Linked DNA regions of Arabidopsis thaliana. The protein of the gene in region 2 interacts with the protein of the main gene of each other region in a pairwise test. Each region holds a gene or a part of one and is shown on either strand. Other genes may lie near its edges. The genes, in order: AT5G49760, AT5G41500 and AT2G28990.

The links.
Region 1: the proteins of AT5G41500 (region 2) and AT5G49760 interact in a protein complementation assay, tested with the Arabidopsis thaliana proteins (one large-scale study listed by BioGRID).
Region 3: the proteins of AT5G41500 (region 2) and AT2G28990 interact in a protein complementation assay, tested with the Arabidopsis thaliana proteins (one large-scale study listed by BioGRID).

What each region holds. Positions count from the first base shown.
Region 1 is NC_003076.8:20,214,393-20,221,912, reverse strand, and holds AT5G49760 (Leucine-rich repeat protein kinase family protein), read right to left. Parts: upstream 5,582-7,520; 5' UTR 5,235-5,581; coding exon 5,147-5,234; intron 5,068-5,146; coding exon 4,947-5,067; intron 4,872-4,946; coding exon 4,800-4,871; intron 4,716-4,799; coding exon 4,641-4,715; intron 4,548-4,640; coding exon 4,476-4,547; intron 4,390-4,475; coding exon 4,225-4,389; intron 4,131-4,224; coding exon 4,056-4,130; intron 3,961-4,055; coding exon 3,889-3,960; intron 3,810-3,888; coding exon 3,738-3,809; intron 3,651-3,737; coding exon 3,582-3,650; intron 3,494-3,581; coding exon 3,419-3,493; intron 3,334-3,418; coding exon 3,262-3,333; intron 3,166-3,261; coding exon 3,031-3,165; intron 2,955-3,030; coding exon 2,479-2,954; intron 2,389-2,478; coding exon 2,233-2,388; intron 2,164-2,232; coding exon 2,027-2,163; intron 1,938-2,026; coding exon 1,718-1,937; intron 1,645-1,717; coding exon 1,409-1,644; intron 1,335-1,408; coding exon 861-1,334; 3' UTR 531-860; and 1 more. UniProt on the Arabidopsis thaliana protein: Leucine-rich repeat receptor protein kinase that acts as sensor of extracellular hydrogen peroxide. Required for intracellular calcium influx in response to extracellular hydrogen peroxide.
Region 2 is NC_003076.8:16,601,961-16,605,713, reverse strand, and holds AT5G41500 (F-box and associated interaction domains-containing protein), read right to left. Parts: upstream 1,713-3,753; coding exon 501-1,712; downstream 1-500.
Region 3 is NC_003071.7:12,452,817-12,460,238, reverse strand, and holds AT2G28990 (Leucine-rich repeat protein kinase family protein), read right to left. Parts: upstream 5,603-7,422; 5' UTR 5,185-5,602; coding exon 5,115-5,184; intron 5,000-5,114; coding exon 4,462-4,999; intron 3,864-4,461; coding exon 3,388-3,863; intron 3,257-3,387; coding exon 3,112-3,256; intron 3,034-3,111; coding exon 2,962-3,033; intron 2,868-2,961; coding exon 2,796-2,867; intron 2,717-2,795; coding exon 2,639-2,716; intron 2,422-2,638; coding exon 2,261-2,421; intron 2,174-2,260; coding exon 1,923-2,173; intron 1,840-1,922; coding exon 1,713-1,839; intron 1,598-1,712; coding exon 1,532-1,597; intron 1,379-1,531; coding exon 1,189-1,378; intron 1,107-1,188; coding exon 698-1,106; 3' UTR 534-697; downstream 1-533.

The DNA.
Region 1 (7,520 bases), 3.6 Mb from region 2:
TTTTTTTGTATGTTATTTTTGTTTTGTTAGTGTTTTAGTAAAAAGACTTTTTGTAGTAAATAAGACACAAAAACATATGTGTGCTTTAATCCTCTTAAGAAACTAATACGATATGACTCCGGTATAAAAAAAGTTATGAGTCTACCGTAGTCTACCGTAAAGAATGGTAAATGGAGGAAACATATCGAGAAAAACTTGGTGCCGGTTCGCTACCTCACCATGAAATATATGGCAGAGTTGCCACACACCACATGTCTTAAATCATGTTTCTTTTTATTTTTTGTTAAATCATGTCATACATTTTGGGGGCGTGTTTGAGGTGTGGACAACAAGGACACTAGATCAGAGAGTGCTCTCAGATGAGACGACAACCATAAATTCACCCTGGGTCATGTAACTGTTGTTGTTCGATGGGATCGTTGATGTGTTAGGTTGCAAACCCAATAACTTTATTACTTTTTTTTCTTATTAGTTAATACTAATTTTACTTACGTACTACAAATTATTTGTAATATAAATTTGTAATATAATCTCATGCATAAATGTGAAAGGTTTGGAGTAAATTAAAAGTGTGTGTGATGTGTGGATTAAATCTTTGAAACCACACAAACTTCTCAACAAGAATTAATATATTCAATTATTCATCATACATTGAGCTTGATTACTTTTCTTATGTTTGAAACTGGTGTCGACATTGCCAAAGATCTGGTGGTTTTTGATTCTGCGTTTGGCTCTCCATTCATCTGCTTTATAATCAGCGACCACATATCAAACAGAATCATGCTACTCCACATTCACAAGGCATTTCAAGTATGAAGTCACTTACGAAATAACAAAATAACAAAAAGAAACATAATCAATCATTGGGGCTCAAGCTTTGAAGCTGGAAAATTCCCACTGTACTGAAACGATTCACTGCCATAAGGATCACCAGATCCTTTGATTGCGTCCTCATACGTTCTTGAACTCGTTGCTGAATCTGAGTTAGGATTTAATCCCGCAAGCTGCATTATGTTCTCAATCTCTTTCACAACCTCACCCATTGATGGCCTATTAACTCCTTCCTCCTCCACACATCTCAAAGCCAAGTCTACATACTTCTCGAACCCTTTTAGATTCCCACTGCTTGCTATGATCGTTGTGTCCAACAACTCCTGCAGGTCATACAAACTCCGAGATTTATTCATCTTTGTCTTCACCTCTCTCACCACATATTTGCCTCTCTCTATCGGACTTCTACCGGTTAATAGCTCGAGTAAAACCACACCAAACCCATACACATCGCTCTTCTCCGTTAATTGATTCGTCATGTAGTACTCTGGATCCAAGTAGCCCTGATTACAAAGATATTGTAAGTTTAAAATGTATTTGAGAAAAAAAGAGAAAGGAGGATAAATTTTCTACTCACCATGGTTCCTTTGACTTGTGTTGTGACATGAGTTTTCTCAGGGTCTCCCACAAGTTTGGAGAGACCGAAGTCGGCAACCTTTGCGGTTAGATTTTCATCAAGTAATATGTTATTTGATTTGATGTCTCTATGTATAATTGGAGGATCAGCAAGTTCATGAAGATAAGCCAAGCCCTTGCCTGAACCAAGTGCTATTTTAAGTCTTCTTGTCCAATCCAATCGAATCCCACTCTTCCCTGCATTACTAACATATTCAGCATCCAAGAACTATCTGAAATCCTCATGAGGAAGATAGAAGTTTGATCTTACCGGACAGACTGTCTTTAAGTGACCCATTTGAAATGTACTCGTATACGAGCATTTGTTCATTCCGGTCAAAGCAGAAGCCCAAGAGTCTGACAACATTCTTATGATGGACCCTTGAGAGAAGCTCAATCTCAGTTTTGAACTCCAACCCTCCTTGCAAAGATCCTTGTTGAGCCCTTTTGATTGCTATGAGTTGCCCATTAGGAAGAATCCCTCTATAAACCTATTTAACCATCAAAATTTGGGATCATGAATTTCAACTAAGGCCATTAGTTGTTACATTCATTTGAAGGCATTTGTTAAGACACAAACCTTGCCGTAACCTCCACCGCCAACATCATTTGCCTCTGAAAAGTTGTCAGTGCATTTCTTCAGCTCCTCAAAAGTAAACGCTTTTGCTCCCATTAGCTGCGGAGCATCAATACTACTCTTACTTGTATCCCATTTAGCTGCAACATGCCAAAGAAAATTTGTTCATGCTATTTTAGTCAAGGGAGTAGTAAATATTGTTGTCTTACCAAAAGGATTATTTTGACCAGTTGCTCTTTCAGCTCTCTTCTTCTGCCTAAGAGCGTAAATCCCAGCTATTGTTAACAATAGTAGAAGAACAACAACACCAACTACTGCTCCAATGAGAATGCTTTTGTTTGATGACTTTGATGAAACTTCTACATCTGTGACAAAAAGAAAGGCAGAGCAAATGAGTTATCAATAACAACCTTTAGTTCTAGTTTGATTGTGTGTGTGACAAGGGTTCATCATACCAGAGAACTGTTTGTACAAATCAGCTTTGAAAATATAAGGGCCAAATATCGGAGGAGGCTTATAAGTCTGGTTGCTAAATGCAAAACCAACAAGTGACATTCCTGTCTGATTAAAACTCTCTCTTCCCAATGGAAAGACCAATAGATCTATTAGAAGCTGATGATCAGTTGGATTCTCTCTTATGTTCCGAACACCAACGGAGTCTACAGGATAATTGAACTTCTTAAAGAAATCCGCGATTGCCTTCTGTAGAATTGAGAAGTTGGTGGAGTTGAACAACCCTGAGAAAGAAGGAGACCGGAAGTAGAGTGTTCCCATGAATGGATACGCACAGCGGCACGTGGGACTCGCTTCCATGCCCGGTTCGCATGGAGAACAGTTTGTTGGGAGTGTAGAAAATGAGGTATTGTGTTGGATTGCTGAACAGTAACTCGGCCCGTTTCCCGCCTCTAGACACACTGGATTATTTGCCAATCTGTAGATATATAAACACTTAAGCAGTTGATTGAGACAAATAGAAGTCATGTTTGATTAGTGACAAGGATACATACATTACTTGGAGGACTTTATTAGCTGATGGTTTATAATCAGTTATTTCATTGTATTGTAAATCCACAAACTCCAACTGGCTGCTAACGTCTGTACCAAAGTCTAAGCTTTCCACTATACTATTTCGCTTTAAGATACTGCAAAGTCCAAAAAAAAAAGAATCCCAATTTAGTACAAAGTTCATAATTCTTGAGTTCATTTCCAGCTTCATTTTTTTTTTTTTTTTTACTCACACAGTCTGCAACTGAGGAGGGCTGAAAAATGAGATTGGTATTGGACCATTAAGTTGGATCCCTTCCATCCTTCTGCGAAGAAGAAAACCCTTTGTTCTTAGAAAGTATACACATGGGAGATAAATGGAGAACAAGACAGAGACAGAGATGTTCATACAATGTTGATAGGGAGGGTAATGAAGAGATCCATGATGGAATGGGTGAGAAATCCAAAGTGTTATTGCTCACATCCCTGTTACATTTACAATCACATCATGGCATTAGATTGGTAAAGAATGAAGGTTTGAGATTGGTAGTGATGATAAATGTAAAAAACTTACAATGTGTAGAGACTGGTCAAGCTGGTTAAATTTGGAAGAGTACCAGTAAATCTGTTGTTGGCCAAGTACCTGAAATGTATTCAACTACAAATTCTTGTACCTCATTTTCATTTATTTTCAACAAACAAAAGAACAAATCTTTAGTTGCTCACTTACAGTTCGTTAAGATTTGTGAGATTGTTAAGATATGAAGGAATATCTCCAATGAGTTTGTTCCTATCAAGGCGTCTAGAACCAAGAAAAAACACATAAGAATTATAGACGTTAGGATAAATAAAAAATTTGAACTATATATATTACTACTTACAACACCGTCAACGTTTTAACGAGACTGAGGGTCTCTGGAATTTCGCCCGTGAATTGGTTTCCATCGAAGAGGCTATCGATAAAACAACGAACAATGCAGTCACTTTGTTAGTTACTTACTCACAACTTATGAAATCTCTCAGCTATATAATGTAATATGAAGCTTACACATGTATTAAACTCATGTTTGAGCTGAAAAGTTCTTTTGGGATATTGCCTGAAAGCTTGTTTTTTCCAAAATGACTACAAGAAAAAAGCAAAGGAGAGTCAGATCAATTACTATATTAGAAGGAGTGATTATAATAAACGGAAGTGAAAGATTTGGGATTATATATACAAATGCTTAGTTTGAAGAAGCATGTCAAGTCCAGGTGCAGAAGTCCCATTAGAAACTGGAAGCTCTCCTTCAATCTGATTGTCAGCTATATCAAACCAATATAGTTTTGATAACAGGCCAATTGAAGGCGGAATTGTTCCACTAAATTTATTTAAATTTAGGGAGCTGTATTGAGGAAACAAAAATTAATACTAATGGTTTTAGAGAATGCAATTGACTGTTTATAATAACATGAATCCACAGAATCTTACAGATATATAAGTTCTTTTAGAGTTCCAATGGACTCAGGGATTTGACCACTGAAACTACATCCCACAAGGATCCTGGAGAGTAAAAAGAGTTAGATAAAATAAGAGATAAGACAAAGTGATACATAAGTTGTGTACTAGAGATTTAATGATAGTGTGTTTCCTTACAAGTTCCTTAACTTCCCAAGGTTACCGATGTTTGGTGGAAGCGGTCCGGACAATTTAGGATTGTATGACAAATCCCTACAAAGATTGGATAATAAGATGAAAACAACCAAAAACCATTTTTATGTGAAAGGAAAAATAGAAAGAAAAAGAAAGACATACAAGATCCGCAACTCGGACAAGAACGATATATCGGCAGGAAGCTTTCCTTCCAAGTCAAGGTTACCTAGTGATCTACAATAAGCAACACAACATTAAAAGTCTGCAGAGCATTATTGGAAGAAGCAGCAACAATTTACAGAGCCTTACATTGAAACGACGCGGTCATTTTGACATGTAATTCCAACCCAATTGGTTCCACAAGGATCAGAGCCTTCCCAACCATCAGGAGGAGTGGTCCATTCACTCTTCAGAGCATTTAAAGCAGAAGCTGCACCAATATTCAAGATTAGGAAAAACTCTGTTCATCATCTATATGGTTGTATATGTATATATCCACACACACTCACCGTCTAAACCATTCGTGAGTGCCGAAACAGAACAAATTTGGAAGAAAAACAAGATCAGGAGCAAAGAGGCTCCAGTTCTTGAACTCATCTTCAAACCCAAAAAGAACCTCTTATCACTTCCTCTGTTTTCTGATCCTATCTCAAAATAATCTAAGAAAAAAGCATGTGCTCTACACAAAGGTTTGACGAATCTCTTAATAAAAATTATAATCTCTCTTTCAAAAACATGTAAACAATAATGTTAACAAAAAGAAGACGAAGACTTTGAACAAATAGAGTTAAAAAAAAAAGTATATCAAAAGAAGAAAATAGGAAGAGGACCATAAGAAAAAACTTGGTCAACTTAAAACAGCTGATAATGGGATATAAAGGTTTCACAATTGGGAAGAGTTGTTAAATGGAAATGTCAATTGAGTAATGGGAAGGAACAATTTATGAAACAATACATTAAAGTATACATATGAGTTGTCGTGATGCGAAACTAAAGTAGGACCCTTATTTATCTACTGTATTAAATACACTCATTATTGATTACAAAAAAAAATATCTATAAACTTCAAAAACAAAGAATAAAATATGATTTTGTTTGCCCAAATCGTTAGATCTCAGAAAGAGAGACTTGTGGAATATAGTTGTGGTCATCAACTATGCAGTGATATGTTTTTTTTAACAACCAAGATTGAATAAAGTCATGGTCGTTGCCTCGTTGGAAAAATGAGGACAAGCCATTTTCCAACTTGATATACTAATACTAATTACAACAACAGTGATGATGATGATGATGATGATTTGATGAAATATTGACTAGAACTTCAAAACTAATTATTTAATAATCGAGTGGGTATGCAAAACATATATAAATAAATGTGAGCTATGAGAAGAAGATGTGTAACTAATTTGTGTTGTGTCAAGCTTACAAGGACCAAACCTTTAAATTTGGCTATTGATGAACTTTATTACCAAGCTAGGGGAGACTAAGAGAGTACAAGTAGCAAGGACAACAACAACAACAAGAAGTGGAGAAACATCATAGCAATGTTGTAGTGGTAGGATCAAGCTATTGATGTATGTCAACATAATGTTTTGTCGATCAACTTGATAGTGGACTGAAACTGTTAGTGTCCACAAGCTACACTCGTGCAACTACGTGTGTTTAGGGGATACATATATACACTCAAATACTCTACGCGTTAACTACGTTATATGTTAAGGCTTTGAATGGATGTTACGGGCGGAGCGGACTAAACCATGTTGTCAGCTCCATACCAAATTTATTTCTACAGTATGTAAAATCAGTAGCTAGTTTGTCTACGGCGATTTTTTTTTTTTTCGGTCCACAGACTACAGTTTATGAATGGTAAACAACAAGAGATCCAATCCCGCAAATGGTTTTGTCAGTCCGCCGTGGCCATTTGAAGCCTAAGGTGCACCTCACCACTTACATTTGCTAGAATAGCAATTTGTGTATTGACTGGGTCTTAATAATCAGTTTGGATATAGATTGATCTAGCGATTCATTATTTTTGGAATTTTCTATGATATCTCTCAACAACTTCAAAAACGTTCAACAAGACTTGTGGAAAAGTCTTGAATAACTTATTAAACATGTGTTTTACAAGCATAATATCTCAAGGAAGATTAATTACAACTCCTAAATTATGGTATTGCCGGAATCACAAAGTTCTGGTGCAACAGTAACATTACCTAAGATGTATAAAGCTCATCAAATTCAATGTCTTAGAAAGGAAAGAATGTTGCCAGGGATGGATTCTCAAATGGTTTACTAGCTTTGAACCTGAAGATGTGAAGAACTTGATACATCATACACGGCTGCCTTCATAGCTACTCTGGTAGCTATTCTTGAGATCAGGATCTGTTTGGGTTGCAAAACAGTCTCTGGAATCAAAATAGTCATTGAATATAGTGTTCCGATTATCTAAAAGTGTTGTTGGTTAACTTGGATTTCCTTCCAGACTGAATCCAACTCCTCCAGTGGTTCAACCTCCGTGATTTGCAAATTGTTGCTTCTTTGTTTCCGATTAACTGGAATACTATATCTAATATTGAGATCACAGAAAACGTACATCGTTTCTGTTCTTGTCCAAAATTGTTTCTCTCTCTCTCTCTCGCCTGAATAGTTTCTGAAGAGTCAGGTTTCTTCTTTGTTGTTTCACTTTCTCGGTTTGTCCGATGATCGTCTCTTCTCCCAATTTTATGGGCCTATTGGGCCTTTTTACTTCACAATTTATGGGCTTTCGTATCAAAAATACAAAATAAACAAAAAAATAATTTACGGGTTAAAACTTAAAACCCCACGATTGGAATGGGTGCAAAATAAACCAGTCCTAAAAAGTAAAAACTGACAAATGAAAGA
Region 2 (3,753 bases):
TCATGATAACACCAAGAGATTCATCCTTAAGTTTGTGTTTGAGAATGCAATACATTTCATATGGACGGAGAGGAATGATAGAAGACACGGAGAGCGACCCTCAACAACGGAAAAAATGGTCAAGCTGATTGATAAAAATGTTAGAAACCGTTTGAGTACTCTAAAGCAAGGGAAGGTAGAGAAGCATGTCGAAGGACTCCAAGTGTGGTTCGCATCGAGATAATACACCGAGAATATAGGAATTTATAAGTATGCTATGAAAAGTTTGCATTCACGTATATTCACGTTTATTTTTTCTTTGCATATAATTTAACACTAAATTAAAAAAAAATAAAAACAGCGTTGATGTCTTCTTCTTTCTTTTCTTGCTAAGAATGTAAATATCATTAAAAAAACAATTGAGGTATAACATTAAATGCTAACTTAGCAAACAATCTCAATTTTATGCCTAATCATCCCGTTTGCTTGTTTCGCACATCCTCATACCAATATCAATAACTCTAATTGATGAGCTTTTCAATTGCAGCAAGTCTCAAACTGTTTTGAGCAAATCGACGGTCTTCTAAACTACTTTGTTTTATCATTTTGTCTCCTGCAGGATGCTTGATTTGGACCAAACTTGGAACATAAGAGCATGGCGAACGGTGGCCTTCATGTACTCCGAGATCCAATTTTCTTAAGAATCCAGTCTCTCCAATGATGTTAAGAAATAACTTGGGATATTCCCCATGATCAAAACCCATGAAAACTTTCTTCTCTTCGTCAACGTAGAAACTAAGTGGAAGCTTTATCTTAGGTCTCATATCCATTCTCAAGAACTTGCTCCACGACACCATTTCGACGTCAATCTTAGTCGTAATCCATATCTCAAACTCATATTCGTATGAATCGTGGTGCAGCCGGTGCTTAAGTAAAACTGCAAGCTTCTCTTCTTTAACACAAGATAAACTCACATGACATCCTTGAGCCCTAGGTAGAGGTAGAAGCGGACCAAATCTCTCACTTGTAAAATCAAAACAGATTATGTGATCTTGGAAACCTTTTGTGTTCATTTCTCTAGCAGGCCAGTAAGTGTTTCCCTTAAGGGAAACTCTAGGGTAAGTCCAAGATATACCCCAATGTGGAGTGATATCAAGAGTTGTCCATAAACAAGAGTCAAAATCGTAGATTTCATACCAAAAAAATGGTTTATCGGATGCTTTGTGGAAATAATCTAAAAACCTCAGTAATTTAACGCTACGACAAGATACCTTGTCGGCGTATCCAACAGCATATTTGAAATGGTCTACACCATGTGGACGGTGAGAATATCTGATTTGGATCCACCTTTCTTGCCCCAAATACGGATTCCAAACCACAATCCTAGTAGCGTCTTTCAAAATACATAACAGCAAACCCTCATAGTGGATGACTCGATATATAAAGAATTCCTTGTCAAGGAAACTAAACTGACCTTTAAGCTCTGTAGATGGATTAACGCCGTCGACGACAACGCTCACTAAAGCAAGAGTGTGAGGCATCACCGCAACCATCATGGTCTTCTCTTCTCTTGTTGCAGCTTTACCAATGTGCATCTTCATAAAACTCTCACTTTTAGATAAATTGTTCCAACTTTTGCAAGTTAATCTCATTGCTTTCATGGCTCTCAAGGGAACCCTAGAAAGAATCTCCTCTATCAACTCCCTCGGAAGATTAGAGATCGTTGTCGCCATTGTTGGGTTTTCCGAAAACCCTATTTTTCTTTTCCTCAAATTTCATCTTGCCGTTAAGGAAAAGTATATAACACTTATTGATACCAAAAACCCTAAACGAATGAAGCTGGGCCAATCGTGGGCTTCAAGATCAATAATAACTATCAACACTACAAGTGATAGTTCCATATATCTCATCAATTGGTTATCATATCCGGTTTAGATGTGGTTTACTCTTGATTAGAATGTTTATTAGAGTCGGTTACGTTAAACAGCTTGTACAGTATTTATGTATTCTGTTTTCTAATTTCTATGTTCAATAAACAAACTTGAATACCAAGGTTTCTTACAGTAACCAATCTGCAAATCCAGAAATTGAAAAGATTCATGAAGCAACAACAAAAGTGATTGAAAGGAAATTCTGTTCCAAATTCCTTTTGACGTAAATGCCAAAATAAAGTAAATGAGAAAGAAATGCCAAATTAGTTTTGTAACATAGTAAATTAGGCTTCGACAACAAGATAAATAGATAAGAAATAGTAAACTAAGACTAACCATCCTTTTCTCTCCTCCATATTTTGCTTCTAGAATTGCTTTTTAAATGCTTCAAGTCTCAACATGTTCTGTGCAAATCGTGGCTTTTCTAAACTGCTTTGTCTTTGATCCTTTTGCGTAGTGCAGGTTTCTTGATTTGGACCAAACTTGGAACATAAGAGCACACATGTAGCCGACACATTTGGTTTGTGAGTACTCCAATATCTAAATTTATTAAGTATCCAGCCTCTCCAATAATGCTAAATGTTCTTGGAATGTCTTCTGTCTTCATTAAAATCCCATGGCGACTTTCTTCTCCTCGTCAATGAAGTATCCTTCACATATAGTTGTGACCAATATATCAGGTCCCGTATCCATTCTCAAGAACTTGCTCCACGACACCATTTCAGCCTCAATCTTAGTTGTAATCCATATTTCAAGCTCATATGGATTTGATTCGGTGTGCTGAAATAAAGCGGCAAGCTTCTCTTCTCTAACACGAGATAAAGTCAAATATTCATAATCATGAACCCCAACGCTAACCGGCAGAGGCAGAAGCGGTCTAAATCTCTCTCTTGTAAAATCAAAACATATTATGTGATCGACGATATTTTCTTCTAAATTCATTTCTCTAGCATGCCAGTAAGTGTTTCTCTTAAGAGTAATGCCAAGGTCACAAGATATTATATGCCAGTGTGGACTGACATCAAGAGTTGTCCATGAATCTAAGTCAAAATCGTAGATTTCGTACCCAAAAACACTCTCTTTGAGTCGTTGAAGTAAATAGTCTACAAACCTCAAGAAATTAACGGTACGACAAGATTTCCTATTCTCATATCCAAGAGCATAACTGAACATGTCCTCTTGGTAAGGGCGGTAAGAATATCTGGGTTTGATCATAACGCTAGTTGAAAACCTCTAACAGACTAACACCTTGAATTCTCTAAGAAGTTCGATACACCGGAATCTATTTTCAGGGATTCCATGGCTGCTTGGTTTCTCACTTCTCTGGTATATTGTGACTTCTCTTTTCAGGAAGTCCGATATTGTTTGTTACACAATCGTTTGTTGCAAGGCGTGGTTGTTGGGCAGTACCCGAAAGTAGACAAGTAGTTTGATGAGCTGATCCTGATGTTTGTTATACCTATAATATCTATATCAATGGCTTATACAAGGAGAACGATATTGAAAGGAGTCATAACGATGATGTCTTCTATGAACAAGCTAGCTAGGTTTTGAGCCTAAGGTAGTTACATATATACAATATATTGACTAAGGCATTGTTTAGATCTGGGATCTTGTCGAGCTAAGACTCTATGCAAAGAGACGGGGACGAACTGGAACAGCCACACATATGAGATTGTCATTAATGCATTTACTGACCTAGACAAGGTTGTTTGTGCTTACGGTTTATTCAGAATAGGCATTTAAGATGAACTTGTTTGTTAAAAGTTCAAGAATCGAGGAAGTTATTTGCAGGTTATTTGAAAAAAGGTTTGAACTTATAGCACACCAAGTTGTAGCGCTA
Region 3 (7,422 bases), on a different chromosome or scaffold from region 2:
CTTTGTCCAATTTGAATGATAGATGTTGTTTTAAATCTCCACTGGTTGTGTACTAGACTAGGTCGAAGTGTGTCTTCGTTAAAACAATATACAACAAGAATTACCAACTTTACATGGTGAAAAAAAAAAAAACATTTACATGATGAACCCTCTCCACAAGATAAATCTGTCTTGTGATATTTCATTATTGGAGTTCTTCGTAACATTTACTATTATACATCTTATTAAACTCAGGATCAACGAGATATACGCTTGTAAACAAGTTCTATTACGTTCATGTTTTATATTTAGACTAAATTTTGACCAACTTTTGGTTTATTAGACCATTTATATCTTCTTTATTTATCTTCTTTTGAAGGAAATATAAACAGCTCTTAAGTTTTGAAGGAAATACATAAGTTTTGGTATATTCAACTCTTCCTTTGGTTTTCAAAATACCGAAAGTGGGAACAACCTAATGCATTTCTTGAGATAGAAACAAAGACGAGAATTAGTTGTGGGTTACAAATTCATGAAATAATTTCAATAAATTTCACCATATGTATTTCACAAAATATATATCACACTACGACAATTCAACATCAGTATTACATGTTATTAGTGAAAGCCTTAGTTATTATTGGCGAAAGACACTCTTGAAACACACAAATTTGAATATTCATGAGAAGAAAAACCAGCAAGAATAAATTTTGACGAGCTAGCGAGCTTGAGGTATTACCTCATTATAAATGTCTCTGCTGAATTCCATTGAACCTTTTGATTCCATGTCTCGTCCCTCACCTATCCTAGAGGTTTCGGATATAAGACATTCTTTTAATTCATTCACAACTCGAGACATGTTTGGTCGTCTTGCAGAAGAAAGACTCACACATGACATTGCTAATTCAATGGCCTTCCAGACAGAACCAATATCATAATCTTGGTGGAGGTTTGGATCCATAATACTTCTAAGATCTCCTTTTGTTATCATAAAACTGACCCATTCCACTATGTGAGGCTTTTCACGGGATTGCTGGATTATAGGACGGTTTGAAATTATCTCTAACAGTACAATTCCGAAACTGTATATATCACTCTTTTCTGTCAACCAATTTGTTTGATAATACCTGCAAAACAAGAAATTGTTGTGATTGTAAAGTAAAAAAAAGGAATGGTGATTTTGGAACTAACATATGAAGTTATACTCACTCAGGATCAAGATATCCAGGAGTACCAGCAACAACAGTTGACACATTTTTCTCATTTCCGATGGGAAAAGATCTTGAAAGCCCAAAATCAGCTAATTTAGCTTGGAGATGTTGATCTAGAAGTATATTCGTAGTTTTGATATCTCTGTGAACCATTGGTGGTACACATCCAGTATGTAAATACTCCAATCCTACATATTAAATTTAATACCATCGTTTATTGGAAAATGGAGATTAATTTCGATATCATCATATGGTTCCTTTCTGATCCGGTCGAGGCCATACTAATACCCATAAAAGCTGTAATTATTAACTAAACATTTGTCTTAAAGTTTAATGAATACCTAGTGCTGCATCCAAAACTATTTTTAGTCTACTTTCCCAGCTCAGGACGAATCCGCCATGCTTTCCTGTATCAATTAAACACACTTCATATCAATTTAGTTATGATCTTTAATTATTCAGAAAAAAAAATTATATCATGGTTAGGTTTTATTAAGAAAACAATTATATATGTGATATTACCTGACAAATGTTGCTTTAAGTCTCCATTTGGCATGTATTCATAAATAAGAGCCAAGTGTTCTCCTTCATCACAATACCCAACAAGACTCACCAAATTTATATGGTGAACTCTCATAAGGAGTTCCACCTAACCAATCATCCATCATCCAACACTCTTAGAGATATACAAATCAATTGGATATCTATTGAGAATTACTAGAAAAAGGGTACCTCTGCCTTGAAATGCTTATAGCCTTGAGAAGATGATTGTGATAGCAATTTAACTGCTACTTGTTCAATAACATTAACAAAACCATGATACACGACTCCAAATCCTCCTTCACCGAGAGCTTTATCGAAGTTATTTGTCATTTCTTGAACCTCAGAGTAAGTAAACCTAATTTTTTTCGATGTGAATGATGATTCTGATTGACTATTGTGCCCGGGATTCGATACAGGCATACTTGGTGGAGCATGTAGATCTACATATGATAGTATATTTGGTTATATGCTAACTATATGCATTGCTTTATAGCAGGTAAACAAATTATTAATGGCTCATAACTTACTTGAAGGGCTGGCCTTCTTCTTTCGGAAGACAAAAAAAAGAGCCACAACCACAACTACAATAACCAAAGAGGCAGCTGATGCAATAACCGGGAGCAAGAATTTATTTTTCTTTTCGGTATTGCAAAAACTGGATTTGCACAAATCTGGATTTCCTTCAAGTCTACAATGAATATGACATATTTTGAAATTGTAAATAGCTTGCATAGGAAAGGCAATAATCGAACTGTCAGGTACCATATTTTGCGATAATTTAATCGACATGAACTCTCTTAATTAAGAAAGATCTAGCAGTTAAATAGTCTCCAAAAATGAAGTTCCTCTACTTTGTTACTATATGATTAGTAAATGCATTCCCTCTATGGAAAAGGAAATCTTACTTTAACACAAGTCCTTCTTTTTCTTTGTCAAGAAGAGCTTGAGGAACTGAACCACTGAGATTGTTCCCACTTAAGTTTCTGTTGAGACAAAGATAACCATTATATATACATACATACGCAGGTCAAAATGTTCATTTATGCTTTTTAGATAGCTTACATTAAAGATAACGTTTTCATGTTGGCAAGGAAGATAGGCACCGGTCCAGTCAAGCTATTATTTGATAAGTCCCTGTGGTTATATGCACAAACAAAAGAAATTGTCTTACATATTCTGTCCAAATAAATCATTATTGGTTCAGGTGATCAACAGTAGAGATACTTACAGTTCTTGTAATTGCGTGAAATTTTGTAAAATTTGGGGTATACTCCCATTTAATCCACTTTTCGACAAATCTCTAATAATACAAAAACACATACAAAATATTTAGATATTTAAATTTTAAATTAAAGAGTAAGTTTGTGAATGACATTACAAGGAAATGATTGTTGGTGAAGTGGAGCCATCTACGTAGGTGCATCTAATACTTTCCCACGACAAATCTTGAGGGAGACATGGATCTCCTTGCCAAGTGATTTTATTCAGCTTATAAGTATTTTTGATGTTCTTGATAGCGTCCACTGACACAATTATTAAGAGAACGTAACAATCAATATCATACTTTATAATATAATGTAAGAATCAATATCATAGCTTATACTTTATAATATAAGTTACATTCCTGTAATATTGAAAGCTGAGAGGTACGTACCATCACTAAGACTTGTTTCCAATTGTGAGAACTCGATAACACTGTATGCCTCAATAGCGTTGATCAGAGGTGGCAGAGTTGAGTTCGGTGTTTTTACTAGCTGTAAATAACAACCTTCTGAACCACATTTCATTGGTTCTTCTGTGTATAATGTAAATACCTTTAACTTGGTTGGACTAAATCCTGAATGATTAAAGTTTCCTCTCAAGATAACGTCAAACTGCCTCGTCTCGTTGGCTTCAAGGGTTTGAATCTCCGCAAAGTGCATGTACAAGTATACCTCCGCATTAATGGGTAGTGGATCCCACGTAATAATCAGCGGCGCACTGGCGTTTCTTGGTATGGCAGCAGTTTGGAGTATATTTTTTGGAATCTCATATGCATTTGAGTTGTTTATATTGAGATCAGTTGTTATATGTGTATGTGAAGATCCGTTGAATGGAGACCAAATACGATCATGGACGTCATCAGCATACCTACAATAAATTTTATTAGCCACATAAATTAATAAGTAAATTGTATTAGCCAAATACTAGTCTATGAAACTAAGATACCAAAAACTAAGTTAGTTGGCAACTATCCGAGTCAATCACCTTGGCTCGTTTTTTTAATAATGAATTCAATCATTCAATTTCATTTATCGTTGCTTGTTTAGTTTGATTTACAATAATGTTAGTCTTTTGTATGTTTGATTTGGTTGTTTGGTTCTTGCTTATTTTCTTTCAATTAATTAATTTAGTTTTAATTGTGAACAAAAAAAAGAAAAAAAAAATTTGTTTTCTTAGCTCATATTAGTATCTTTTATTTCTAGTTCGTTGTTCTTAGTTCTTTGTTCAATTGTTACAATGACTTGCCATATAGTTTTGGCATAATGTAGTTACGTTGGAGTCTTAAAATTTTGAACACATCATTCAACAATGATGTTTTTAACACAAGTAAAGTCAACATATCCCCTCATTCATATCTTCTCCAGAAAAAAAAAGAGAGAAAAACCTCACATTTTTTAAAAGAATAATGTTAAATTTTATTCAAAAGAAAAACGTCACATTGAATGCTTCAAATAGATTGACTTACCTTATAGATGCATCTGAATTGCTAAGATAAACCCGGAAAGACATCATCAGCGAACCAGATTGTGTAACATACGTATTATTCCTTAGTGGCCGTATTTCTATGGCTGAAATTATTGGCAAAGTTTCTCCTGTCTTAACAAGACAAATATCCAAAGAGTTTGACCTGGCTTTGTGTATGATCTCTTCTCTTGTACCTTCTTTCTCTCCATCCAAATCTATTCTTTTCCACTTATTGGGACCAAGATGGATATCGAAGTTTGGATCACGGTTAAGACCATCATAATTTCCATATACAAAGCTAACCACGATGAGATAAGTTGTGCCACGCTTGACATCAAGACTATAACAATTACGTTTTCCTTCTGGGAAGTATCTAAGAGTCAAATATTGTTTTGATAAGTTTATGTTAAGATCTTTATCGACACTATCAATTTTTCCTGTTTGGATGAAAGTGGAATCCGATGTGAATGTTAATCCGTTAAACGAATCATCGTAAGGAGATTCGTCACTAGGTAATCCACAATCTAAACTGATGAAACCTGTTCAAATATAAAAGCAATAAATGGGAAAAGTGATATTGATACATTCTTATATAACATATCACAAGTCAAAGGATTGATTTATAAACAAGAAAGAGATGGTATATATCATTACCTTCTTGATCCTGGGCTCCAATTATAACGACAAAGGTTCCAATCATGGCCAACAAAAGGTGAATCTTCATGTTCTCTCTCGATCACTATCCGGTTTCTCTAGTACTCAAGAAAAAACAAAGACTTGCTTAGGGAAAACTGCAAAAGATATGGAACTGAGAGATACCTCATGTATAAGTTGGAATGAAATATACAAAAGTCAACTCCGGGTAGAAAATTAAATAATGATCGTGGAAATAATCAATCTGGTGTTGAATAGTTGTATATGTTCAGGAGACTCGTCATGTGTAGGAATATTTCCTCCACGAATGTATGGTTTATCGCCAGATGATCTTACTTTGTCTATGTGCTTAAATTGCTTGAGTGAAGAAAAATCATTTGGTATATCTTCATTTAGTAGTCAGCCACCAAAATAACGAATGAGAAAACTTTCGAGCACAAAGATATATAAAGGTTTCTTTCGTGGATAAGTATTTCGTTTGGATCCCGTCCTATAAACTAGTTTACTAGATTGGATCGAATATATATAATTAAGTTTCAGAATTAGTATACAAAGATCATGTTTTTTGATTAAAAAGAAAAATCATGTTATTCACTGACACATTATATTTTGTTGATTTTTTCAGCGGCAAACTAATCATAGACCAATCAATCAAAGGTAAAAAATTAGGGCTGACGTGGCAGGGCGATTTTGAAGGCGATTTAGGGTTTCACTACCGTGTGTCCCAATCTGGCAGATCTGGCGGCTTTTCCGCCGTCTTCCCCCATCATGTCGACGGCGATGGTGGTGGAGAGCACATCGAAAAGTTCAGAAGCTTCCCCAGAAACGACCAAACCATCATACTCATCAATTGTTCAGAATAGACCAACCCTTTCGAAGCATGAATTCAACGTAACAATGGTCAACGGTGATTCGATTGTCCAAGTCCCAAATGAAATCTTTGAAGATTCAACACCATTGTGGGATGATTTGCTCATAGGGCGGTTTCCACAAATATCTCCGCATATTGCAAAAGTTCACGTTATTGTGAACAAGATCTGGCCACTTGGAGACAAGACGGTAAAGATTGACGCATATGTGGTAGACACTAAAACAATCAAATTCCGAATCAGAGAGAGTTCAGTCCGAGCTAGGGTTCTTCGCAGAGGAATGTGGAACATAGCTGACATGCCTATGATCGTTTCTAAATGGTCCCCGGTTGCTGAGGATGCTCAGCCAGAAATTAAAACAATGCCAATGTGGATCACCATTAAAAATGTTCCACGCTCAATGTTTACTTGGAAGGGTCTGAGTTTTCTTGCAAGTCCTATTGGGGAACCAAAAAAGCTTCACCCTGACACAGTTCTGTGCAACAGTTTTGAGGAAGCTAAGGTATTTGTAGAAGCAGATTTAACACAGGAAATGCCAAAACAATTCCGCTTTAAATCTGAAACTGGCGTTGATGCAATGGTCGAATATAAGTATCCTTGGTTGCCGCCGAGATGCTCTTCATGCTCTAAGTGGGGACATATACAAGAGGTTTGTCTAACGCGTCCATCACCCAATCAGCTATCCACACCAACGGAGATAGAAACAGAGGATAAAACAGAGCCTCCTCTCATGAAAGAAAAACCTCTCGAAATACTATCGAAATCTCCTTCGGCTACTTTGACAAAAACGCTAAACGGTGATTCTCACACTCAGAAAGTTCCAATGAAGAATCCGACTGTTTTACAGAATAAGGGAAAGGAAGTTGCAGAGGAAAACGAGGAAAATTTGAAGGACGAAGGTCCCTGGCACACGGTATCGCCTGCTAAGGTAGGCAGGCAGAGGAGTCCTCAACCTCAAGAAGTAGTTAATCATGCGTCTCCTTCTCGTTTTGATGTCCTAGCAGTGGAGGAGGACACGGCTGACACAAACGGTCATGAGGAAGGAGAAATTGTTGTTCTCTCCCAACAATTAAATGATAATTCAGATTCAGTTGGTGTTCAAGGGACTCGTCCGTACATCCCACGAATCTCAAAGTCTCAGCATAAGGTGGTCAAAAGCTCTGCGAATCAAAACACGAAGGGTAACCCTAGTGTTTCAGGTCATAGGGCTCATAAAAAGAAATAATTTTTATGTCGGGTTTCTTTTGGAATGTCCGTGGTCTAAATAAATCTTCTAAACATTCCATTATCAAAAGTTGGGTGAATCACAGTTCTATGCAATTTGGTTGTCTTCTGGAGACGAGAGTCAAGGAGGGCAGATCAGCTGAACTACTTTCGTCTATTTTTAGTGGTTGGTCGTCTATAACTAATTATGAATCACATCGGTTAGGCCGCATTTG